4 linked regions of the Drosophila melanogaster genome follow. The protein of the gene in region 3 binds, or shares a complex with, the protein of the main gene of each other region. Each region holds a gene or a part of one and is shown on either strand. Other genes may lie near its edges.

Region 1 (4,274 bases), 8.4 Mb from region 3:
TTGCTAAATTTGCTTGGGAAAATAAGTAAGTATACTATGTATATTTCATTAATGTATTAATAACTTAAAAAGGCGACGTGTGAGCTTTAACCGTAGCCCAAGTCGCAAATGGTGGTACTTACCAATTCCATATAGATAGATGGGCTTCGTGAACAGCAAGATATCCGAGCTCGAATAACTCGTCGTGGCAGTTCAAAATTCCAGGGCTGGATATCCCCTCGTCTTATGTGCTCTAATACACACTCGGCGTGTAGCAGGTTGTAAGAAATTCGCGTTTAAAATCAAATAACTTAGTGGGCGCTGCCATGTTTTAAAATTTATTCGATAACCGATCCCCGACTTAAAAGGAAAAGTGTGACCATCAATTTATAAAATTTAGCTTATATTTTGTAAAAAAATTGTTGCTTCTTTGTTTAGGAATTTTTAAGAAAAAGCAATTGTGTCGCAGAACAAAACGATGGCTAAAACAGTAATTTTAAAAAGGCATACAACACATATAAAATTATTTTTAAGGTTAAAGAAAGATTTTTATAACAGAATTAAAATCTTCTAATTTTAAAGCAATATTAGGCGAACCCAAATACATGCCATTGTACAATGTAGAATTTAATGTTAAATCATCTCTATGTTAAAATAACAAAATATAAACATTGTCAATTGGAAGAACGATTCAAAATAAGCAACTCGACCTAGATGAATGAAATAGTACAATACATGCCATTTTGTTGCTGAATGATAAGCTAAGATTTTGTTGAATTTTGGCTTAGTTGCATTCGGAAATATATTTACAACATTTTGAGCACACCCTCCAAGCACCCAATTTATAACCAGACTTTCTTATCTCAAACCCAAGCCAAAGATATTACATTGTATTGTGTGTATAAAATCCGAAGAAGGGGCATTTATTTCGCTAAAGATGCGCGTGGAATCGTGAACTACATGTAATCTCTTTCCGGTCCGGGGGCCACCTGCCGCTTTCTAGGATCCCACGATGATGTTGTTAATGGGAATGTGAATCAGCTTGACGAAGAAGCCGATGAAGCCCATGATGGCGAAGCCCACGGCGGTGGCGATGGCGATTTTCTGGAACTCCTTGCGGTCGGGTTTTGTGCAGCGCTTCACCAGGCGGATTGAGTCCTTGGCGAAGGCGCGTCCGGGTTCGGCGAATTTGACAACCTTGTCCATTTTTGATTTGTGAGTATTTAACTAAGAATTACCAATGAACTGAATTGATATTTATTTTGCTGCCGTGTCGCTTCTTGCAGTGTTACCAAGTTCCTCAGCTCAAAACATACTAAAAATTAACGCCTTTCCTTTAGTTGTTAATAAATTTTTTTTTTGGTTGAAATATAAGTGTATTTGAATTATTTTAATTTATTTTGAGTTTTTCTTTAAATTGAACCCATTCAATTATTACTTTGAAGCAAATCATTTAATGAACAGTTTTTAACAATTGATTTGGGCACACTACCCTACCCTAGCGTCGATGGAGGAACGGTGGATTTTTGAACATATGGACGTTTTCTATTTATTTATTTTTTCGTCATTTGGAAGTGAATTCCAAATTCCGTGCTCCGGAATGGCGTGCTTATAGGCTTACATTTGCCTAATTTAGTAATGATCCTGAATAAATGATCCCCTGATTAAAAAAGTTCTCCTAACAGTGGGATGAGTTTGAAAGGTATTTAAAAATGCCGCCTTCTCTAGTAGAAGTACTACAGCCGATCCGTGTCCTTAACTGCTTTATTAACAGTAATAGTTTTGGGAGACACCGCAGTTTATCTGAGGGTTAGTTTATCTGAAGGTTAGTTTGTTTCCTGGTGGTTTGTTTATCTGGTTAGCTTATCTGGGGTCTAGTTTACCTGAATGATAATTTACGTGGGAGTTAGTGTAACTGAGGGTTCAGTTGACTGGTGTTTCGTTTAGCTAGGGGTTAGTTAATCTGAGGTTTCGTAATTTTAAAAGAAATCCATTTAATTATTACTTTGAACCAAATCATTTTTAACATCTTGTAAAGCTTTTAGAGTTGGTCACACTACCATGAACAGCAGTAAAATTGCAAATAAATATGTAATTATTTGGCGATAGAAAAATGGAGGAGTCACCTTACCTGCACAGCCCCTACCAGGTGGCCATTATAGCCACCGACCTGCACCACGAGGATACCATAATCCAAGCAGCCCAGTCCCTGGACTGTCTACACAAAACCATAAACTCGATTTTCGAGCGAATCGATGCCCGCTTGGCGAGAAATGGTTCAAAGGTTGAGGACATAAACAATCGTGTGAAGCGCGCTCAGGCAAAAATCGATGCGCTCGTTGGCTCCAAGCGGGCCATCCAGATCTTTGCACCCGCCCGCTTTCCGGCCAGCGACGTCCTGGCACCGCTGCCAGCCACCTTTCCACAGGTGGCAGCCAATCCCCTAATGGAGCAGCAAGTGGACCAGCTCCCGCAAGGGACGTACAGCAGTCACAGTGCCGCGGACCAGAAGCCGGATGATGCGGACATCTTTTTCCATGTACGTGGCGATCGGGAGCAGGAATCGCCACTGGTCGCCGAACGGAAGATAACCAATCGGACCGCTGGCCTGGGCATCCTGCCTGCGGGTGGAGTGCGCTCCGTACCCTCGCTCATGCGATTCAATACCAATGAGTTCGCCTACGGCGAGGATCTGAATGCCTGGAAGCGATCCCTACCGCCGCAAAATGCTCGACGCGTTGCCAGTCAGTCCACTCAACTCACGGGAGAAAAGCAGCTCGCTCCGGCACCTCATTCGCTGGCCCACGGCACCACCAAACTGGCCACTCCAGCTGGGGACCTGCGCTACAATCCTGCTGCTTTGGCTGCACCCGCCATTGATGTTCCGCTGGACCTGCCCGACCTACCGGGCATAGCGAATGATCTGCAATATGAGCCAGTGGAGGAGCAAACACCAATAGCGCCTTCCCAGCAGTTCGGTGATTTACCAGAGCTGCCGGATTTGGGCCTCGAGGAGCAGGATATAATAGTGCAAGCCATCGCGGCACAGACGCACATTCCGGGACCGGTGCGTAGGAAGAGTGTGGGACAATGTCCTTCGCCAGTTACGGCGGCACCACCGCCTCCTCCTCCGCCACCACCGCCGCCTCCACCTCCTCCACCAGCGCAGACGAGCGCAATTCCATCACCGCCACCCTTTCCCACCAAAGGAGCTGTGAAACCGCTCTCCCCGTCGTTAGCAACACCTCTTAACATGCCGCAGCCGCCTCCAGCTACTGAAGATCCGCGATCTGAGCTTATGGCCGCCATAAGAAACGCCGGTGGAGTGCATGGCGGTCGTCTGCGGTCGCCTGCGGCTGCGCCGCTCGACGTGGTGGACAACAGTCGCTCCAAGGCGGGAGGCGCTGTCACGGGGGATTTGATGGCAGACCTGCATAACAAGCTAATGCTGCGACGCAAGGGAATTTCTGGGAGCCAGAATCCCGTGGAGGCCACTGCTGGCAATCCCCTGATGCAGCAGCTCTCCCGCGTCATACCGCCGCCGGTGCAGCCCCGCAAGGGATCTAAGTCGAGTGACGAACACTCCGAGGACGACGAGGATGGGTGGAACTAGTGAATATTTAGCTTTAGTACCGGTTTAAGTGCCTTGGCTGGCTTAAAGCACTAGCAACCTAGGTTCTCTAGCTTAAAGCATACAAATTTCTAAAACGAATTCCAAATTCTGTGCCCAAGCGAGCATGCCAAATTAGGTCAAAGTCAACCAGTTGAATAAAACTACATATTAGCAGAAATGTGTGTAATTTCTTATTGAGAACATTGGCTAACTTTAATTGATAAAATTACAGGACAATGAAACATTTTGTGATGCTAAATGAAATAAAACAATTCTTTATACTGACTAAAATAAACTCGATATTAAATTATAATAAAACACTAAATTCTAGTTTTAGATAACAGCTATTTTCCTATTTGAAATAAACGAATTTCCCTGTTAAATCCTTAACAGCGCTGTTGTGTTGCTCTCTGCCAGTGCTGTAAAATGCCGCAGTGGAATCACATTTCGGGTAAAAACAAATTGAAATATCCACCGAATTTAAATATTAAAGTTAGAGAAGCTGCCAAATATCTGGAGTTACAATCAGGGACAAGGACAAGGACTACTACACTAGAGGAGAGCTTTTACAAGCAATCCGGTGAAACCACATATAATGACAAGTCCGTCGCGGGATATAAACGATCTTTTTGACGATATTGTCCTGACCGAGGAGAAGGAGGCACGTTTGGGCTACGAGGAG
Region 2 (6,196 bases), on a different chromosome or scaffold from region 3:
GATCCAGATCCACTGCGAGATCGTCTAGATACAGAGCCGCTTCGCGAACGTCGAGAACCGCTCCGCGATGCATTTGAGCGTCTAGAACCGGACCTACTGCGAGATCGCTTAGATCCACTGCGAGAGCGACGTGATCCACTGCGCGATTGCTTAGACCCACTGCGGGAGCGGCGCGATCCACCACGGGATTGCTTAGACCCACTGCGGGATCGCCTAGAGCCACTGCGGGAGCGACGTGATCCACTGCGGGATCGCTTAGACCCACTGCGTGAGCGGTGCGATTGCTTAGATCCACTGCGGGAACGCCTAGAGCCGCTGCGGGATTGTCTAGAACCGCTGCGGGATCGTCTAGAGCCGCTGCGCGAACGTCTGGATCCAGCAGGCGATCCCGGTGCTGCGCCAGAATGACGGGAGCCACTGCGGGACGGAGCGGAGCCGCTCCGCGACCGCCGGGAACCGTTTAGCGACTGCTTGGAGCCACTGCGCGAACGCCGGCCACTGGCTGCCGAGTGCACCGATCCGCTGCGGGACTTATGGGATCCGCTTCTGGAGCGGGATGCGCTCTTCCTGGTAGCACTGCGACTGCGACTACGCGAGCGATCGGCGATGGCCTCGGCATTATCATCACCATTCTTGGGTGCCGGCGAAGGAGACTTGCTCTTGCTCTTCTCTGGCAATACTGGCTCGAAATTGGTTGCGTCGGGATTGGTATCTTGAATTTCCTTTAGCTCCGCTTTTGCGGCCGTGTCTGTTGTGGTCTTCTCGAGTGGCTCGGATAAGGTCTCGGCTTCGTCGCCGCCGGCCTTTTCTGAAAATTAAGTGTATAAAATGGTTAAACAAGAATTTCCATTAAGAATCAATTTGGTAATCAACCTATTTCAGACGTTTCCATGCCGTACTAATTATTCCTATAAATTTTTAGTAGTACACAACCAAATTTGCCTAGTCAGTTGGTCAAACTGCTTTCAGGCTCAAATTAAATAATTCCTGCAATGACTTATAAAATACGACGCGATTTTATTGCTCGGCATTTGTAAGGCCAGTGGAACGAATGGAAACGGAACATCAACGCTTGTGTGTACACATACACTAATGCATACACGCTGTTTAGGGCCCTTATACACGACAAGCCTTTTGTTATCGATAACAAAACTTCTATGATAAGACATCCGAAATAACTTATTCTACAAAACATTTAAGTCCAAAACTTAAATATCAAAATTAAATTTGTTTATGGACAAAAGTCTTGTTTTAAAAATAGACTGCGACGTACAGGTATTCGTGTCAAGGAGTACGATTTTAATCCTTGGAAATCGATAACCAAACTTATAGAAATTGATTTAATTTGTTAAGTCAGAATGAAAACTAGGTATTGCATATATTCATAGTCATTACGATTATGTATTTTTACCGCTGTTTCTTGAATCAAAAATTTATATTGCTTCTTATATAAATAAAATGAATTTATTATCTGAGGATTATTTTTGCTTATAAATTGTATAAATAAATCATTTATCGGAATAGACATGCTACCAACTTTTCCATTCAATTAATCGCGATTTTCGATTTTACACAGTTTTTGGGTTTTAACTACGCTTGTTTAAACAAAAGATATCGAGAATTTAGCGTTATCGAATCGGAATCCACCCACTTGAAATGCCCCATCCCTAAATTTGCCATGAGAAAACCAAAACAATAATATTTTTAAAATTGGTAGACATGAAGGAAGAGCAAAGCTCTATGTGTATGAAAACGCCGATATCAGCTATGGAATACTATTCTTATCTATATATTTTCTATTTCAGCTATGTTTGCCGAGGATATCCTACGGGATTACGGCTCCTTCATATCGGAGCACGATGGGAAATTGAAATTATTGCGAGATAAAGTGCCTAATCGGGATGTTTCCGAGTCTGCACAGTGTGTATATATGTCGCCCGTGGTCGAGGTAAACTTTATGGGCAACGATTCCATGGCTCCGGACAGAAGCTTTGAGGAATCGGAGCTGGTGGCCAATAAACCGCTGACAACTCTGGCGAATCTGTGCAATCAGTGCAGAAATCTGTCCAGGAAGGCAAAACGGTTCCAGCTGGCATTCCTTTTCAGCGACTTTCGATTAGATGATACGCTCCCGCCACATACCCACACATCCGAGGGTTCCGCCGGCTTGGAGGGATCCTTGGTCCGCATGAGCAGCTCCATGGACTTCTTCTGCCAGGTTTACTTCTTGCTCAATCGCATGATTGTGATACTCCAAAACCTTTGGAGACAAATAGCCGCATCTGTTAGCGTCCCAATGGACATCAATGAAGTCCACATATTCGTAAGTCAACGATCGAACTCACATCTCAAGTGTAGTAACCAATTGAAGTCGAAACTTGCAGGCTGTCTTTGATGCAATGAGTGAGTTACTGGAACACATAGTGGTATTCAATGAACTGGCGAACCAATCGAAGATATCCACCATGTGGGCGCTGTACAAGAAGTGGCTGATGAACCTATCCAATAGCCAATCAGCGAACTTGGAGCTCAATGGCCTTAGTACATCGCTAATGGATATAGAGAATCTGATCACCAAGGATTTCTTTCGGGTAAGTCAAAGAAAAACGTGAATGGTAACCGCCCTTTCATGGATATTTCCAAACAGATTCTACTGGACAATTTGATGGAATTGAAGAAGCAATTTGGCCTGAATAGTGTTAGCCCCATCACCCAGCATTCCAATGCCTATATTCGTAGGCAGCTTCTCGACGTCGACGCGAATCCGAGTAACGAACTTAAAAACTATGAGGATCCCAAGCACATTATTCGACTTACCACCTTCGTGGTCGTCGTCCATGAGCTAGGCATCCAGATGGAGGGAAAACTGGTCAAGAATGTGATCGATTTGGTGGCCAGGCATAAGCAGGTGCCTCTCAACCGAAGCGTTTTCTGGTCGCCTTCCGGATTCCTCTCTCTACATGCCAAAACCCTGATGAAGTCTTCAGCCCGATCGCAAGATGGACAAGGCCCAAAAGTTCATAGCACAGTATTGGAGAAGTTTAGGCTTAGCGATCAGAGGACCTGTCGCCAATTGGGCGTCCAACTATCGCTGTGGTCCATCCAAATGCAAAGGGTATTCGATGTGGGAGTCTTTGGACACCTCAAGACTTTTCTGCAGTTGATTCTCAATGGACACTCCTATGCCGATCAAGTTAACCTGCTGGCAGTCGCGCTGATCAATCGGCACGTGGCTCTGATGACGCCCATGACCAGAAACGATTGGATCGTCGTCTCTCGGTTGCTGCAGTACCTGAAGGTCATTCAGAAGACCTTTGAGTCAAACCAAATCAATTTCGTGCGCTTTATCAGCTCACTGATACAATGGCAGAAGCAAAAGGTCATACACCTGCTGCACACAACGAAAAAGAAGATAGTTGTCCTCAAGTTGCTGCAGCGCAAGATCAACTTTTTGGCCACAATAAAGCTGGCCGAGAAGTCCATTATGGGATTTCCGAGCAAGCAACGTTTGACTTTCGTAAATCTAGCCCTCGGGGAGTTTCTAGATAATCGCCTCCTGCCCGCCGACAATCAAAAGTTGATCAAATCGATCCTACATCGTGTTAATAGTATCAGCGACATTATGCGGAATATTGGTGGACAACTTAACACGTCGGAGTCCTCGAGTCTGGTATATAATCACTGGTTTCTGGACACTTCGGTGCTTAAGGAGTACACCGAACTCCAACGCAATCCCTACTCCTTGCAGGTTGGTTTCTTACTCAGTTTCTGGCAAAGCAACTTCATGTTTATGCCATTTATCATCGGCAGAACCTCGTGTCGGTGAGCCATCATCTGGACAAGATCATGGCCATGTTCAGGGGTTCAAGGTGTCCCAAGCAATCAGCGAATGACTTGATCATTGAGTTTTTGAGCAACCACCTGGAGTTCTTTCTGCGCGTGGAGGCCCTTTCGCATCTCTTCCAGAGCCAGGATCAACCATTCCAGCAAAGTGCCTTAGACTATCGTCTCTGCATCAATGCAGTTGCAGTTGAAAACGATGGTGATTACAATATTATAAAAGGTAAGATATCGGTTACAAAACTGAGAGATCATGCCATTCATTAACATATTTTAGATCATCTTGAGAACTATTTCACTGCCACGTTCTACAACTTAACGACAATCGCTCCGCACGACTGGAAATCGTATGAAAAGATGCGTCATTTGGCCAACAAGGTGCTGCAGCTGCAACCCATCGATGACCACCTGCCCAATCAGATAATTGACCAGGTAACCAATTGAATCATCAATAAGCAATCTCTTCTATTAACCAAACAATTCTTTCCCACTTTCAAGGGCATAGACGTGCTGCAGATCATGCGGAATATACACACTTTCGCCTCCTCGTATGCCTACAACATGAACCTGCAGGTGTTCGTGGAGACGAACAGCAGGAGCAAGCACCTCGACATCATTGGCACCCGGCACGTGGCCAACTCGGTGCAGACGCACGGCACCGGTATCATCAACACCACCGTCAACTTTATATACCAGTTTTTGCGCCAAAAGTTTTACACCTTCTCCACCTTCCTCCACGACGAGCAGATCAAGTCGCGGCTGCTCAAGGAGCTGCGTTTTCACACGGAGCACAAGCACAGCAAGTCCTATCAGTCGTATCCCTATGAGCGCGCCGATAGTTTTCTTAAGAAGATCAGAAGGCTAGGCTGCTCCAGCAATGGCGAGACGTATATGGATCTTTTCAGGAAGGTTATCACACAAGTCGGTAGGTGGTTAAAGACCATAATTCAAGAAAATGCTTAAAATATAAACGTAAATATTGCTTTTAGGCAACGCTGTTGGCTATGTGCGCCTCCTGCAGGCTGGAAGCAAGAATGCCAACTTCCGGAATCGCTCGTATAAAACCAGATTCGACAGCAACTTCAGTTGCGGGGGCTCCAAAGTGCACGAGGCTACGGAGGGTTCCATCAGGGAGTACGAGAAGAGCCTGGGTCACATGAAGGAGTGCTATTCCGATAGCACAAATTACTTCAAGGTGCAGTCTACGATCTTAACAAGTTAGGTAACCAGCTTAACCCATGGATTTATATTGCAGCTTCTTCTGCAAGGCTTTCAGCCCTTTTTGTGCAATCCACATAACCACCACCTGCGAACCTTCTACCTCATCACACCGGCGCTCATCATGAACTACATTGACTACCGGGTCAAGCAGAAGCTAAAGATCTACAAAAAGGACCAGACCAAGATCTCGCTGTTCGAGGATGGCTTCGCCATCGGCCTGGTCTACATCCTCAACATGCTGAACCAGCAGACGGAGTTCCATGAGCTGGGCTGGAGCCAGACGATCACGCAGCACCTGAACGCGGAGCGCTCCAAGGTGCGCGACATTTTGGCGGGCCAGCAGCGGACGGCGCCGGAGCAGCTGGACGAGAAGCTTCACCAGACAGTGGCGATAACCGAACGACATGTGAACGCCTACGAGCATGAATACAATCTATTGTACGCCACCTTGAGTAGCTCCGAAATATTCTTCCAATAAAATATGTCCATTTACCAAAACCAAAGATCCCAGCAGTGACAACAAACAATTGAGTAGTTGGTTGCCGTTTATTCAGATTTATTAAGACGAAAATACAATTCCGATTCCGGTACATAGCGTAGAACGTTGGTATATATATATATATATGCAATTAGATAATCAGCATTACTAATACTATTATTAGTAGTAAGTAAGCCAACATCAAAAGATCAAACATTTTTCTAAGCCCCTCTCGACTCTTGTCGTCTCATTGTTTTTCTTCTTTGTTTTTTTTTTTGTGAATGGAAATGTTAAAGTTACAGATTTAATGCATATTATATAGCCAATTGAACGCTTTCTGACATTGGTGGGCACTAATTCTATTCACTTTTGGCCCCCACATACAATTGATTGGCCAAAGGAAACCCAACATGTCTATTGAAAATATGTTGGTTTGTTATGTATTTTTCTCGTAATATTACAGTACAGTAATTGGTAAAAAAAAATGTTTTGGAGAAAATGCAAATGGTTTTCGTCTTAACAGATTTTTCTTCTTGCAATGTTGCTGTTGCTTTTGCATCGCACCTTCTTAAAGAGAACCAGAGTTAGCCACAATGATCTTCTTGGAGGTCTTGCCAGACTGCGATCCATAAGATTCGATCTTCTTGACCACATCCA
Region 3 (7,290 bases):
CCAGTTTAGTCGAGGGCTCCGCAGACGATTTTAATTTGGATTTCTTCTTCGATTTCTTTTCAGTAGCTTCCGAGGCGGGAGGTGTTTCTTCTAAATCTTTTTCATCATTGTCCTTACGCTTCTCTTCCTTGGATTTCTTTTTCTTCTTAGACGGAGCTTCGGCTGTTAAATCTATGGTAATTTCTTCCTGAATTTGAGTGGTTTCTTGACTGTCCTTAGATTTACTTTTATTTTTAGTTCTATTTTCATTCGAAGTATGCGATTCATTATTTCTGTGTAAGTCGTCATCATCGATTACAATTACTTCGTCGGATTTCTTAGACTTTTTCTTTTTTTTCGCAGCTGGTTCTTCTATCGAATCTTCTGCAATCTCCTTATTTTTATCTGACTTTCTTTTCTTTTTTTGGTCACTCTCTTCTGTTTGTATCGACACTTCTGCTGATTCCTCCTCTTTTTTGGACTTTTTCTTTTTGGAGGAAGTCCTTTCACTTTCCTCAGTGATTTCCGCCATCTCTACGCAGTTGTTGTCCGTCTTCTCGGTTTCATCGACAGACGATCGCTTAGATTTCTTCTTTTTCTTAAGTTTGGGAACGTCCTGCTCGATTTCTTCCACAGCAGTTGGTTGCTCGCTAGTCCTTTCTTTGCTTTTAACTAATTTTTCCTCAACAAAGTTGTTCTCCGACTGCTCAATTTCATCGAGAGACGATCCCTTCGATTTCTTCTTTTTCTTAAGCTTGGGAGCGTCCTGCTCGATTTCTTCCACAGCAGTGGGTTGCTCGTCAGTCCTTTCTTCGCTTTCAACTAATTTTTCTTCATCAAGGGATGATCGCTTTGATTTCTTCTTTTTCTTAGGCATGGAAGCAACCTGCTCTGGTTCTTCCTCTTTAGTTGGTGGCTCGTCTGCCCTCTCCTTGTCTTTCTTTTTTTTCTTTTTCTTGGAAGTCACTTCATCATTATCTGCTGAAATCTGTTCAAACTTTTCAGCATGACCATTGGTCTGTGCCTCGTTGTTGTCTTCAACTTGGGAGCCTTTCTTTAGTCTGTTTTTCATGGCTTCCATTTTCTGCTTGAAATAATCAGTGGTCGACAGGCCCGTGACAATTGTCTGCACGCCAGCGAAGTTGGGGTTTGGCTCCTCGGGTTGGACAGCCAGCACGGGTTCTGGATATCTCTCGACGTCCTCAGTTGCCTTCTTGCCGAATATATTGGCTAGATCCTTTTCGCTGTACAGAGCCAAGTCCTTGCCGCGTGTGAACTTCTTATAGTGGACGCGTGCCCTGCTCTGCTTCGACCGCTCCTCCAGCGACATTCCACTGGTGTTCTCCTTGAGTTTCTTCTTAGACGGCTCCTCCGGTTCAATGGCTTTGAAGCCAAAGCCCATAGGTCTGGCCTCCTCTTCGGACTCCGGCTCTTTGTCTATGCCGCCGCTATCTTCCCCATTTAGCGACTTAAGCAGCCCATTGAAGCCATCCTCGTGTACAGTCCACTGATCATCGCGCTGCTCGAAACCCAATCCTTCTGCGTCATTTTTAAAGCGAATGCGCACAAAATCCTTTTCGCCATTCAGATTGGCGCCCAGGCCACTGCCTTTCGTCCAGCCCATTTTCTCCAGCATTTTGGTACCGAAGCGATTTTCATCTGTTAAAGTTTAAGAATTTACGATTTACCAGTCACATTTGGAGTTTAATGCTCACCTTCATAGAGAGCCTTGCCGCGCGGACACAAGTTGTACTTTTTGCGCCGACGTGGTTCAGCCAGCATAGCCATTTTAGTCTATAATTATTTATAATCTACTTCGTTTTAAATGTAAATTGCGGATAACTAACAAAGATACAATTCGTAAATTGCGAACAACCCAACACGTGCTATCAAATATCGATAGCAAGTTTAAACAAGATATATCGATAGCGATTGTCGAAACAGCTGCTCAGCAGGCTTAGGGATGAGCGTTGGCTGTGCGCTGATAACAGGTGATTAACTATCGCTCATCTCTATTTGGGTGTCATTACTAAGTTTGTTGTTGTTGCTCTTAATTAGTTGTTATTATTTTCTGACTTGCGAGCTTGCAGTCGACTGATAATGGATATAAGCGCGGATGTGGATCAGATAATAGCCCAGGCTCCGGACTGGACCTTCGCGGGCGACTGTGCTCTGCTGGCGCTGATGAAGCGCATTTCCCAGGTTAAATTCACATACGTGCATAGATAACAAGCCAATTTGATAAAATTTTTGCAACAGAATCTGGAAGAAAGGGGCGAAAGGACCAGCCGCAATCTGCGAGACTTTGAGACGAGCGTGAAGCAAGTGGATATAGCGCTGAACAATGCCACTACCAGCCTGCGATCCCTGCAGTTTGGAAATCAGTTCGTGGAGTATCGGGTGGAGGAAGTGGATGACGCAGATTTGGCCATGCCCGAAGAGAAGAAAAAGAAGGTGCAATAAGCGATGGAATTTTGCAGGCTGCTGTGTTTACAGATCTTAATATGCTTGCAGCCAGAGCTGCCGCTCAAGAGTTCCGAGGAATTGGCAAAGGAGTTTCTGGAAAACAACCTTCGTATGTTCCGCAAAAACTACGAGCCGGTGACCATAGAAGTGCCCGATTCGGATGATGAGGATGGCCCCGTCCACTCAACGTAAGTGACTACACTACGATTCCGATCCATACTAACTCCACTTTCCACAGAACCGTATTCCGTGCTAAGAATCCCTATGATGCGATACCTTTGCCCTATATTATTGGTACCAAAGAGTGGCAGGAACACAAGTATGCCGGGTTGTATGACAGTAAGGAGAATAGTGAAGATGACAGATCCGAGGAATTCTCCTCAAGCTCATCGGACGAAAAGGAACCCGAGACCAAAAAAATAGCAACGCCAGCGAACAAATTAGAAGAACAGCATCTGTCTGACTCCTCTTCCCTAGCCTCGTTTGCCAGGGAACCGGCAATCGTGTCGCCAGTCATTAACCCTGCTGTTCAGGTAGCAGAGCCTGTCATCAGAACACAACCGCGTCCAATTATAAACAGTCAAAGGAATCCACATGAGAGGGACATGTTTGCTGCCCTCCGGCAATCGCCGCCTAGCGACGACCCGCCATCCACATCGTCATCGCCTACATCTTCACCAGCCTTTAGGAATCCATCAAGTCGCCTTCCAATCGTATCTACTGCATCGCTTAGTTCCAGTAGCAGTAGTCCTGCCCAACAACCTCCTCGACTCTTCGACGAAGCTGTTTCAACCCAAACTCCGAAGGAGGCTGAGATCAAGCCAAGCCAAACAAAGCGCATGCCAGTTAATCTTTTTAACGAAGATGAGTTTAAATCCTTCATGTCCGAAATCGTGGACAAAGTCCAGTCAAAAACACCCAGCAGCTCCGTCTCCCCAGCAACGACAATTTCAACAAAAGAACCACCCAAAACTAAAAAACCCGTGGAAGAATATCCAAAGCCAGGGCCGCCAAAGCAGATTGTTGAGCAGACAGTTCCAAAACGTGTAAACCTCTTCGACGACAGTCCTCCATTGAGTCCAACTCCGAGGTCAGAGCCTGTTTTTAATAATACTAAAGCAACGGGTGCAATACCAAAACGGAGTCCAGTTGTAGTGGCCAATAATGATGAAGATAACTCGCTTTTTGGTAGTTCTCCTGCCATGCCAAAGGAAAATCCTTCCAAAAAGCCACCTAAACCGGTAACCAAATCTCTATTCGATGATGACTTGGAGGACGACGACTTCTTGAGCTCCTTTACGCCCAAAGCAAAGCCACCAGAACAAAAACTGCTCTCAAAACCAAAGCCCTCCTTATTTGATGATGATGATTTGGATATCGATGATATATTTACGAAACCATCTGCTCAACCGAAAAAGCTATCTGAAAGAGTAGCTGGAAAGACAAGTTTGTTTGAAGACGATGATCAAGATGATGTCACTGATTTGTTTGGTTCGAAAAAGGCAAAGGTAATTCCAAAGGAGACGTCTTCGGGAGTTTCGCCCAACAAAAATGTTGAAACACCTGTAGCTTCAAAGAAAAGTCTCTTTGATGATATTGAAGATGAGGATTTGTTTGGAACCCCAAAGGCTAAGAACTTAATTAGAAGTGAACCAGATAATGATCCTGAAGCAGTTGGAGAAGATAAGAAACAAAGTGAGATTGCAGAACAGAAATCCAAGAATATAGAAACTGGAGAAAAGCAGCATCAAGTAATAGCAGAAAATGCATCTGTGCCTATTCTCAGAGATTCACCTCCTCCCATGGAAGTTACGGAACAAAAGTCTGATGATAAAGAATGGGAGGCGGTTAAGGATGATACATCAGCAGCAAATATTACCAAATCTAAAGATTTGTTCAGTGAAGACTTAACCGACGATGAGCTATTCTCTAGTACTTCAAATAATATGGCTGAGCCAAAAAGTGCTAATGAAACTAATGAATTTAACAAACCAATTGAAAAATATACTTCGCAAACTGAGGAAAATGTATCCCCAGTGAATCCTCCTACAAAACTATCTATCAAACCAACTGATTTGTTTAACGAAGATTTTAGCGATGATGATACATTTTTGAGTGCATCTATGTCCAAGAATGAGCCATTAGTTGGTACAGAAAACGAAGATATTAAAAAACCATCTGAGGTGCAGCTGGTGAAAGAGATTAAAGCAGAAGAATTGCCACAGCAACTGCCAGAGAACAAAATATATGAAATAACAGCTGTCGTTGAAAAGGATGAACTGGTGCCCGAAATGTTAAGTAAGCCTCAAATAGATGAACCCGTTTCGGAAACTCCACCACCAGACGATTATCAAAGCAACGTAGATCCCATTATATCAATGGTGGCTGATGTCACCAATAAAACATCAGTGGATACACTTACCCCGCGAAAGCCGGCGGATTTGGCTGCTGCGCAGCAAATCATGCAAAATTACTCGAATCTCTTTTCCGACGAACCGCCGGATGACAGTGAATTCTTTCAAACGCTTGGCAGCAGCGGTCTCAGCAGCCTAAGTGCCTCCAAAATCTTTGACAACGAGCACGACTTCTTCGAACCCGCTCTGCCAAACATTCCCAGTGCGACAAAGCCATCTCCAGTGACGCCGGGGGATCAACCTTCTGTGTCGTCTGACTACGGTGCCATGTGCTTGTTTAGTGATGTGCCACCCGAAGATAACGATCATGCAGGCGAAGAAGTGCAGAAGGAAGCTGAACCTCAGAAGGACGAACTAGCGTCAACCACCCGAATACACACAATCTTCTACGATGATTTCAGTGAGACTGCAAGGGCAGGAGCAGTGCAGCCAGCGCCCAAACGCTTCCCTTTCGATGACGAGCCACCGCCAGCTGATGAAACTGATCGTAGTGAAGTTAAGGAGACGCCTGAATTGCAGAAACCCACTTCGCCCGTTAAGAAGCTGAAAATGCCTAATATTAACATCAATGTACATGCCCTTCTTCCGGGTTCTGGTAGCGTGCCAAAGCTGATCAGGAAACAAGAATCATCGAGTTCCGAGAGAGATGAACCTCAAGCGACAGTTCAGACTGAGGCTGAGGCACCAAGTTCTGGACAAAACACTGTTTCTTCTGCAGACGGTGTCCTGCAGCATGTGAACAAATCTCGCGCTCGTGGACCTGCCAAAAGGCGACCATCTACCAGAAGAGGAAGAAAGGAAAACTATGCCAAAAGCTTATTGGATGCTGGGCAAAATGAAGGCCCAACAGCTTCGACTAGAGATAGCCCAGAAGTTGAACACTCTGAGCGAAGTTCCATTAAGGCACCCTCTCCTCAGTATGTTAAACCTGAAAAGCTGTTTTCAACCCCAGCCCAGCAAATTCAGCCGCAGCTCCAAAGACCGCCGCCATCTAACACTGGTGGCTCATTTCTGGACAGCCCCGATGAGGATGATTCCTTTTTTAATTCCGTCCCGACAAAAACAGTTGAGGGAAAGCAGGGTACTGATCCGCCGAAGTCATATCGCTCGTTTTTGGACAGCCCTGATGCAGATGATAAGCTTTTCAGTGATCTTGAAAATAACAAGGCGGGTATCAATGTAGTTCCAGTAGAAAAGAAGCCGCCAAAGATGGCAAACTCATTTTTGGCCAGCCCAGATGAAGATGATTTCCTATTTGATTCTGTAAAAACAAATGCAACTACTACCGCGCAAAAAGCATTTGCAGCAGAAATCATGAATGCTTTTCAAAAAGTCACAACTGCTCCTCCGAAACCATCGAATGCCAAGGAGGCTGCTAAACCCAAGTCACAGGCTGCGCCGAAACTGTTTGATGATAGCGACGACGATGATGATGATCTGTTTGCCAGAGCTCCTAGTATCCAAACCGCCAGCAAGCCCGTCCAAGCTAAACAGCCCCCCAAACCAGCGGCGACTTCTCTTTTCAGCAGCGATGATGAGGAAGCCGAAGTGCCTGTAAAGAGTGCTCCTGCTAAGAAGTTGCCAGTGAAACCAAGCAAAAGTCTCTTTAGCGACGACGACGACGATGATGACCTGTTCGGAGGAAGCTCCACGTCCAAAGCAGCTGCTGCCAAAAAGACCAAACCCGCGGCCAGGACAGCAAGTAAACCACCTGCCAGTAAAACCACCACGCCCACTGCTACCATTCCATCAAACTCCGGTGATAATCCATTGGCCGATCTTCTTGATTTCAAGTGAGAAAACAGTTACGCCTTTTATTACAAGTATGTACACTTTTTGATCTGTGGATGGTTAGACTGTCGATCAGAGTATTGTTATTCGTATTCCTATTAACTATAATAAACAATGAATGTCAATGTTCATTTGTGTTCGATTCTTAGAACTAGACTTGGGCAATTTTCATACAGTGCCTCTCTTATTGGGGGGGTATGCTTTTTGATATTTGTTTGTTTTAGAAATATCTATTTATATTTTTGAGTACGTCTGATATTTCGTGATATTTACTATTACGATTACTTTTATTTGCATATAAAATTATATCCCCATGGAGTCTCATATTTAGTACACTTTTATTTGCAAATAGGTCGTGTTATTCAGTAAAGCAAATAAAACTGAATGCAGACCCATTTAAGCTACAAATTGACTGGCGCATAAACGCGCTATACGATTCTCGCAGTGTAACGTTAGTCTACGAACTGAAACTGAGTTAGTTTGTGGCTCTTTGGTCGTTATTCCGAGGAATCTCATTCTAGATCGAGCATATCCTACAACTAGTGAGCTTAACCTAAACGCTGACTGATGATCGATTGGGATCCGGTTTCCAGAACCAAAAAAACGGACTCAAAGAGCCACATCGCGGTACTTCCGGTAA
Region 4 (6,388 bases), on a different chromosome or scaffold from region 3:
TCATCCACTTGCAATATATTTTAGCCTCAACTTTAAATGCGTCGCGTGTCCCCTGTTGTTGTTTCTTTTTAGTTAGGCGGCTCTATTTAATTTCTATTTTTACATTTATTTACATAAATCCTAAATTCTAATCGTATTTGATTTTAAGCCTAATTTAAAGCTCGTTTATTTTTCCAATAAATTCTCTGTAAAACTTAAACCAAACCAATCCAAAAACAAAACAAAACCAGAGTAAACGAAGAGAATAAAATAATAGAGAGGAAAGTAAAAGAAGGTAAAAGAGAGCGCGCAGTCAGCGGGCGTTTGATTTGTAATTTGTAACATAATAATGTTTGCATCAACTGCATTGACGGCCTTATCTAAACGATATAAACATAATTATTAATATTTAATTATTTAGCTTAGTTTGTTAAACGAAAACGAACCATAATTCCTAGATTTTAAGTAAAAAGCAAGGGCGCGTGAAGAGAAATCGAAACCGAATTACAGATAAAGGTTTTTAAAACCAACTAGATCGAAACAAGTTCAGCAACAGCAAAACAAAAGAACACATCAAAAAAAGAACCGAAAAATATCCATTTAAACATCCATTGAATTAGGTTTAGTTGTTTAAAAAAGATGTAATTTTTAATTACCCATAATGTATAAACGGAAATCAATCGTTAGGCAAGACCACAACAAACCCAACAAATTGTAAATACATTCTAGGCTACGGTTTTTCTAATAGATAACTAGGTAAAAACGCAAACGTAATTAACAAATTATCGATGGCAAGGAGCGATGCGAGCGCAGACAACTTGGCACACCGAAAAAATATGTTTTTATTAGTGGCGCTCGTTCATCCATTAAGAATGGCGATTCATTAGGCTCCATAGATCCATAAATCCCCTAATCCAATCTGAACTACACACAAAATAGACAAATTTTATACAATTAGCTCGATAAATCTTGTAAAATAGAGTCCCGTAAAAAAATTATAACAAATAAATTGACAACAATTGATGTAATTCAGTAAACCTAAGCAAAAAGTGAAACCATTCTAAGCAAATTCTTTGTGTGTAAAAATTAATATGATAAACAAAATGCAGATGCAACCGTAAACAGCGCATAGTTTGGTAGGCATATAACTGAATATATATATATTATTATTATTATGTTTTAACATTAAGCAAAAAAATAAAAGAAAAAATTGAGAAAACTTCAACTGAGCACGGAGAATTATTAGCTGGGAATATGCAGAATTTATTTTAGTGCGCAGTGTTTGCTTATGCATATTATTATTTTATGTCGTATGGAATATGTAACGGTATCTCAGTTAATTAGCTAGTTAAATCATTACAATTTATGTAGTTGAATTAATTAATTTTATTAATATTTTTATATTCATTTATTATGTTAATTAATCCTACTGAAACTTTGTGTAGCTCCCATAGAATGAAAATCTAACACAAAATAAATAGAACCAAATTCACGTTTGGATTCAACCAGAAACACATAACGAATTGGCAATTTTCTTAATGTCGTATTACAACTTGCTTTCTTTTTTAAATTTTAAAATTGAAATCGTGAATCTAAAGTCGGAAACCATTAGATCTTCCATCATTATTGCACTTTAATGCATCGAATAGAGTTATTAAGCCAATATTATAATTTTATTATTCAATACAATAGTAGTTTCATATCTCATTTTAATAAATTTAATAATTGTTATTAAATTATGTACCTCATAGGTTGTTATCATCAGTTTCTCACTTCAAATTTATGCGCCAACATTTCGAAGTTCATGGTAACTCTATAACAACAAAATAGTGTGACCGGACTTATGTAAGATTACTGCAGATAATACACTAGTGCAAAAAAGAATTGATATGACTAAATGAATAGACAATATAAACAAACAATAACATAATTCGTGGACTGATAAAAAGTATGTACAGCTTTAATTAATAATGTGATTATACAAATTAAGCTTTCTCCAGAGAGGCATTTGTTAGAATCACAGAAATCAAGGAAATGCATAATGAGTTTTCTGGATGACAATAATGCCTGTGGGCAGAATCTGCTGAATATAGTGTCGGTGGGTAATTCTATAATAGCAGAGATCCTGCGCCTCAAGGACTACGTGCCCAGTATTTATAGGTAACATAGATTAAAAACCTGCAATTAATGAATAATTGGTGACCACTCCTCCCCAGATTGGACAACAAAGCTGATAAGGCGAAATATGGCGAGCTTATTCTGGATTTCAGCTACTTCAAGATAGCCGAAGATCACGAGAGGAGGATCGAACAAAGTCCGGTAATTTGATGTTAATATACCCGAGACCACACCGTATTAAACACCCTGATTTCCTTCAGGAACTGACCGAACTCGATGATGAGGCACGTGCCCAGCTTCCGCTAATCACACGATTTTACCTGGCCTTCCAGAGCATCCATCACTATGCCTCCGATCTCCAGCAATATATCGAGGAATTGAACACTGGCTACTATATCCAGCAGACGCTGGAGACGGTACTTCAGGAGGAGGAGGGCCGCCAACTGCTCTGCGAATCCCTGTATCTCTTTGGTGTGATTCTCCTCATGGTCGATTTTCACATTCCGGGGGATGTGAGAGAACGTCTGCTGATCGCCTACTATCGGTATAGTGGAGGAGATGCAACGCCTAGCGGAGACGAGAGTAATATCCATGATGTTTGTCTCCTGCTCCGATCTACGGGCTATGTTCATCCGTCGATTGCCGCTAAAGTGCTCGGTTTGGGTGGCAAACAGGCAGGCGCTAGAGCTGCTAGCCTTGTGGTTCCCCGATACCCGGAGGCCTACTTCTCTCGCTTCCGTTTCGATGAGAATTTCGTGGATCTAGTGGTGGCTCGTCTGCGGTGCGATGATATATACAACCAACTGAACCTGTATCCACATCCTGCCCATCGCTCCACGGCTCTGTCTACTCAGGCGGCCATGCTGTATGTGTGCTTGTATTTCTGCCCGCAAGTTCTTCATTCCCAAGGCTCACAGATGCGCGAAATTGTGGACAAGTTCTTTTGCGACAACTGGACCATATCCGTGTACATGGGCATGACAGTGAATCTGGTGGATGCCTGGTTGGATTTCAAAGCCGCTCGATCTGCTATTGAAAATGTGATAAGTCCACCGGCAATCAAAGCACTCTGTCAGCAGCAAAAGGAGCAATTGGGCAAGATCACTCAAAAAACCCAGGAGATTGTTCGTGAAGGAGTTCTAAATGACAACTTTGTTTTGGAGCACGCCAACAAAATCATACACCTGATGAGGCAATCCAATGTCCTGCTCCGCTGGTTTTGCCTGCACACCTCAAGGGAAGTTTTCATCTTTGCTCACACAGCTACTTTGACGGGTCAAGTGCAAAAATGTGTGCTCCACGAACTACAATTCAATCGGAATACGCTGTATAACTTACTGCTTAACTGCAGCCAAATGGAGCTGAGCGTGAGGGAGTTCCTGGCAGAGATTCAGCAGACTAAGGAGGAGCGCTGGACGAAAAGCAGAGAGGAGGCCATGCAAAGGCTCAATGAGTTGAGCGAAGCCTTTGCCGGCTCCAGGCCTTTGTCCAAGATTGAACAGAATCCTCAGTTGCAGCAATGGTTTGGCGAAGTTGCTGGACGTCTCCAGAAACTGGAATTGAGCAGGCCCCAAAAGTCCGGAAGGCTGATTATTCAGGTGATGCAAGCACTGGACGATGTGCAGGAGTATCACAACCTTCATTCCAACATGCTGGTGAAGCAGCAACTACAGGAGACGCGAGACATGCTCAATCAAATGGCACAGCTAATAAACCTGAAGGAAGACATTGAGATTCACATCCAGATGATCACTGACTTCAGCTATGCTTGGCATCTACTGCAGTTTGACTTCACTCCTCCCATGCAGGAACACATCAAAAGACAGCCACAGGCGGTAATAGGTATACGAGCGGTCTTTCTCAAGTTGGCCAGCACCCTGGAGGTGCCGCTGATGCGGATCAATCAGGCCAGAAGCGAGGATCTGGTCTCTGTGTCAAACTATTACAGCACCGAGCTAGCAAACTTCCTGCGCCGCGTTCTGCAAATTGTTCCAGAGACCATGTTCAGTATTCTGGCTAAGATCATCTATCTCCTTACGAATGTTATCAAGGAGTTTCCCACTAAAGTGGAGAAGGAGCGTCTAAAGGACTATGCCCAGTTTGAGGAGCGGGCCAAGGTGGCTCAGCTTACAAACTCCATTGCTGTTTTTACGAAGGGAATTCTTATGATGAAAACAACTCTAGTGGGAGTAATCGAGCTGGATCCTAAACAACTATTGGAGGATGGGATACGCAAGGAGCTTGTAAATCATCTGGCAAATGCCTACAATCTGGGCCTAATATTTACGCCCGAGAAAGGCAAGACTCCTGTGCAGCTTCTTCAACAAAAACTGCAAGCTCTGGCGAAAACAATAGAGGGATATCGAAGATCCTTCGAATATATAGAGGACTACTTAAGAGTTCAGGGACTTCGAATCCTGCTGGAGGAATCGCAACGCATTATTAACTACAATGTGGAGAAGGAATGCAATGCCTTCCTCCGCAACAAAGTGCAGGAATTTCAATCGGAGCACCAGAGCCAGATCATACCCATTCCCAACTTTCCACCGCTGTTGGGAGATCCGTCTAACAACTTCATTGGCCGTCTGGCCCACGAAATTCTGCGGTGCACAGATCCCAAGCAAACTATTTTTCTGGATCTAAAAAGCACTTGGTATGAGAAGAAGGCTCCTCACCAGGAAGTTCTTGCCGGCTCTGGATTCTTTGAGATACTTAGAGAAGCCTTGGCTCCGGCAGGAATGGTGGGATTGGAGCGCCTCTACGCTCACATGTTGGCTGATGAGTTAAAGCGCAACTTGGAACGGTTACAGCGTAACCTGACCTCGGATCGTATGTGGGTGGATACGTTAGCGGCACTGACTCGGGAATTGGAGGCCCGGGACTTCCCAACTCCGGAGGTGTCCAAGCAGCCTTTGAAGTATTATCAAGCTTACACCCAACGATGGCTGAAAGTGTGGCCCACGCTGTTGGATTGGGTTTTGTGCATTGGACAGAAGCAGCTGCTCCGCAGAGAAATTGCAGGAGAGCTAAGCTTTAGCAGTAAATGTGATGCCAAGTTGCTGGAGAACACGGCGGACACCCTGAACAAGTAAGTCAAACTATAACATCCTAAAAATATTTATATATTTGCAATCTCTTCCGCAAACAGAGCCCTTTTACTAGAACTGTCTCTCAGCAAGGATCTCTGTGATGAAAAGGGTGTGGTCATGTTGACAGAACTGCAGGAAACCCTGCTCTATACGGGAAACTTTGAGCCCCTAGAGCAAGTCTTCCTTATCACAAAGAACACCCATAACATGGCCCTCTTTATGTTTCTTTTCACCATTGCCCATTTGGGTCGTATGCAGCATTCCACGATTACCGATTGTCTGTTGCCAAAATCAGCCAAAGATAACATTGATAATGTGCCTTTTATTGTGGGTCTAGTAACGATCTTGCAGCAGTTCCACAAGAATGTCAAGATGCTGTATATATCCTACATGAGTCAGTACGTGGTGACTGTATCGGAGGCTCAGTTACTGTAAGTACTTTAGTTACAAGATAATCCACGAATATCAGATGACATACACTTTTCTTTATTAGGGATAAAGAAATCCTGGGTCCCGAGGTGGTCACCGCCCTGCACTTTCTTCTAGCCTTTATACGCATTGCTCGTTTGCCACTCGGAGTTCTGGAGCAGCGCATTCCCAACATAATACTTAGCGAGTACGAGTATTTATCCACACTGCTAAAATGAAAACTAACCAACAGGTTTGGGCTACACAAACTTTAATAAATCCGAAACATAACAAGGAAATGCCTCGCTGAGGTACAAGAGGAGATTGTAGTTGGATGGGTTGGTAATCTCAGTGTTCCTTCGCTGACAGGAACTCTTTACGTGATAACCGTTGGAGCGTTGCGTCCAGTGAACTTGGGCAGCTGAGAGATCTCCAGGGCGATGTCGATCAAGGGTTTCAGCATCACGCTGGCCTGGCCCAAAACATTCTCCTTCTCATAGGAATCAATGTACAAGCTGAAAAGGAACAATTCATCTATTATTGAAAAGAATTGTTTGATATTAAATCTCATCGTGACTCACCGAACGGTTGCTCCCGAGCTTCCAGTTCCACTGAGGCGCACCACAATGCGGCTGCCATCCTCGAACACAATGCGCAGACCCTGTTTCGTGGCCACCGACTTGTCGACAGGATCTGTGTAGCTGAAGTTGTCGGCCTCCTTGACCTTGTAGGTTTTTCCGCCGCTGGAATAGCTCTTGCCGACGAACTCCGGAGCAGTTATGGTCTTCTCCATG

What was found.
Region 1: FAM21 (region 3) and wash share a complex: the UniProt entries of both Drosophila melanogaster proteins name them as parts of the WASH complex.
Region 2: FAM21 (region 3) and SWIP share a complex: the UniProt entries of both Drosophila melanogaster proteins name them as parts of the WASH complex.
Region 4: FAM21 (region 3) and Strump share a complex: the UniProt entries of both Drosophila melanogaster proteins name them as parts of the WASH complex.

Annotation. Positions count from the first base shown.
Region 1 is NT_033778.4:12,178,609-12,182,882, forward strand, and holds wash (washout), read left to right. Parts: upstream 1-1,884; 5' UTR 1,885-1,932; intron 1,933-2,014; exon of another isoform or gene 2,015-2,017; 5' UTR 2,018-2,092; coding exon 2,093-3,592; 3' UTR 3,593-3,765; downstream 3,766-4,274. Other genes in the region: CG8860 (uncharacterized protein), read right to left, coding at 979-1,185; CG13175 (uncharacterized protein), read left to right, coding at 4,188-4,274. UniProt on the Drosophila melanogaster protein: Acts as a nucleation-promoting factor by activating the Arp2/3 complex to induce actin polymerization. Participates in both linear- and branched-actin networks.
Region 2 is NC_004354.4:16,312,075-16,318,270, forward strand, and holds SWIP (strumpellin and WASH-interacting protein), read left to right. Parts: upstream 1-1,634; 5' UTR 1,635-1,744; intron 1,745-1,805; 5' UTR 1,806-1,807; coding exon 1,808-2,323; intron 2,324-2,384; coding exon 2,385-2,591; intron 2,592-2,647; coding exon 2,648-3,748; intron 3,749-3,810; coding exon 3,811-4,063; intron 4,064-4,117; coding exon 4,118-4,272; intron 4,273-4,338; coding exon 4,339-4,765; intron 4,766-4,829; coding exon 4,830-5,035; intron 5,036-5,095; coding exon 5,096-5,539; 3' UTR 5,540-5,676; downstream 5,677-6,196. Other genes in the region: CG9915 (uncharacterized protein), read right to left, coding at 1-808, 874-892; Cyp1 (cyclophilin 1), read right to left, coding at 6,108-6,196. UniProt on the Drosophila melanogaster protein: Acts at least in part as component of the WASH complex which may regulate wash nucleation-promoting factor (NPF) activity and is required for its membrane targeting during endosomal sorting.
Region 3 is NT_033778.4:20,621,537-20,628,826, forward strand, and holds FAM21 (family with sequence similarity 21), read left to right. Parts: upstream 1-2,010; 5' UTR 2,011-2,079; coding exon 2,080-2,181; intron 2,182-2,238; coding exon 2,239-2,433; intron 2,434-2,493; coding exon 2,494-2,633; intron 2,634-2,683; coding exon 2,684-6,656; 3' UTR 6,657-6,779; downstream 6,780-7,290. Other genes in the region: CG11180 (uncharacterized protein), read right to left, coding at 1-1,638, 1,695-1,767; Rcd6 (reduction in Cnn dots 6), read right to left, coding at 7,260-7,290. UniProt on the Drosophila melanogaster protein: Acts at least in part as component of the WASH complex which may regulate wash nucleation-promoting factor (NPF) activity and is required for its membrane targeting during endosomal sorting.
Region 4 is NT_037436.4:16,120,167-16,126,554, forward strand, and holds Strump (strumpellin), read left to right. Parts: upstream 1-1,835; 5' UTR 1,836-1,927; exon of another isoform or gene 1,928-1,979; 5' UTR 1,980-2,020; coding exon 2,021-2,139; intron 2,140-2,195; coding exon 2,196-2,298; intron 2,299-2,357; coding exon 2,358-5,185; intron 5,186-5,245; coding exon 5,246-5,617; intron 5,618-5,679; coding exon 5,680-5,833; 3' UTR 5,834-5,886; downstream 5,887-6,388. Other genes in the region: Pgm1 (phosphoglucose mutase 1), read right to left, coding at 5,971-6,109, 6,176-6,388. UniProt on the Drosophila melanogaster protein: Acts at least in part as component of the WASH complex which may regulate wash nucleation-promoting factor (NPF) activity and is required for its membrane targeting during endosomal sorting.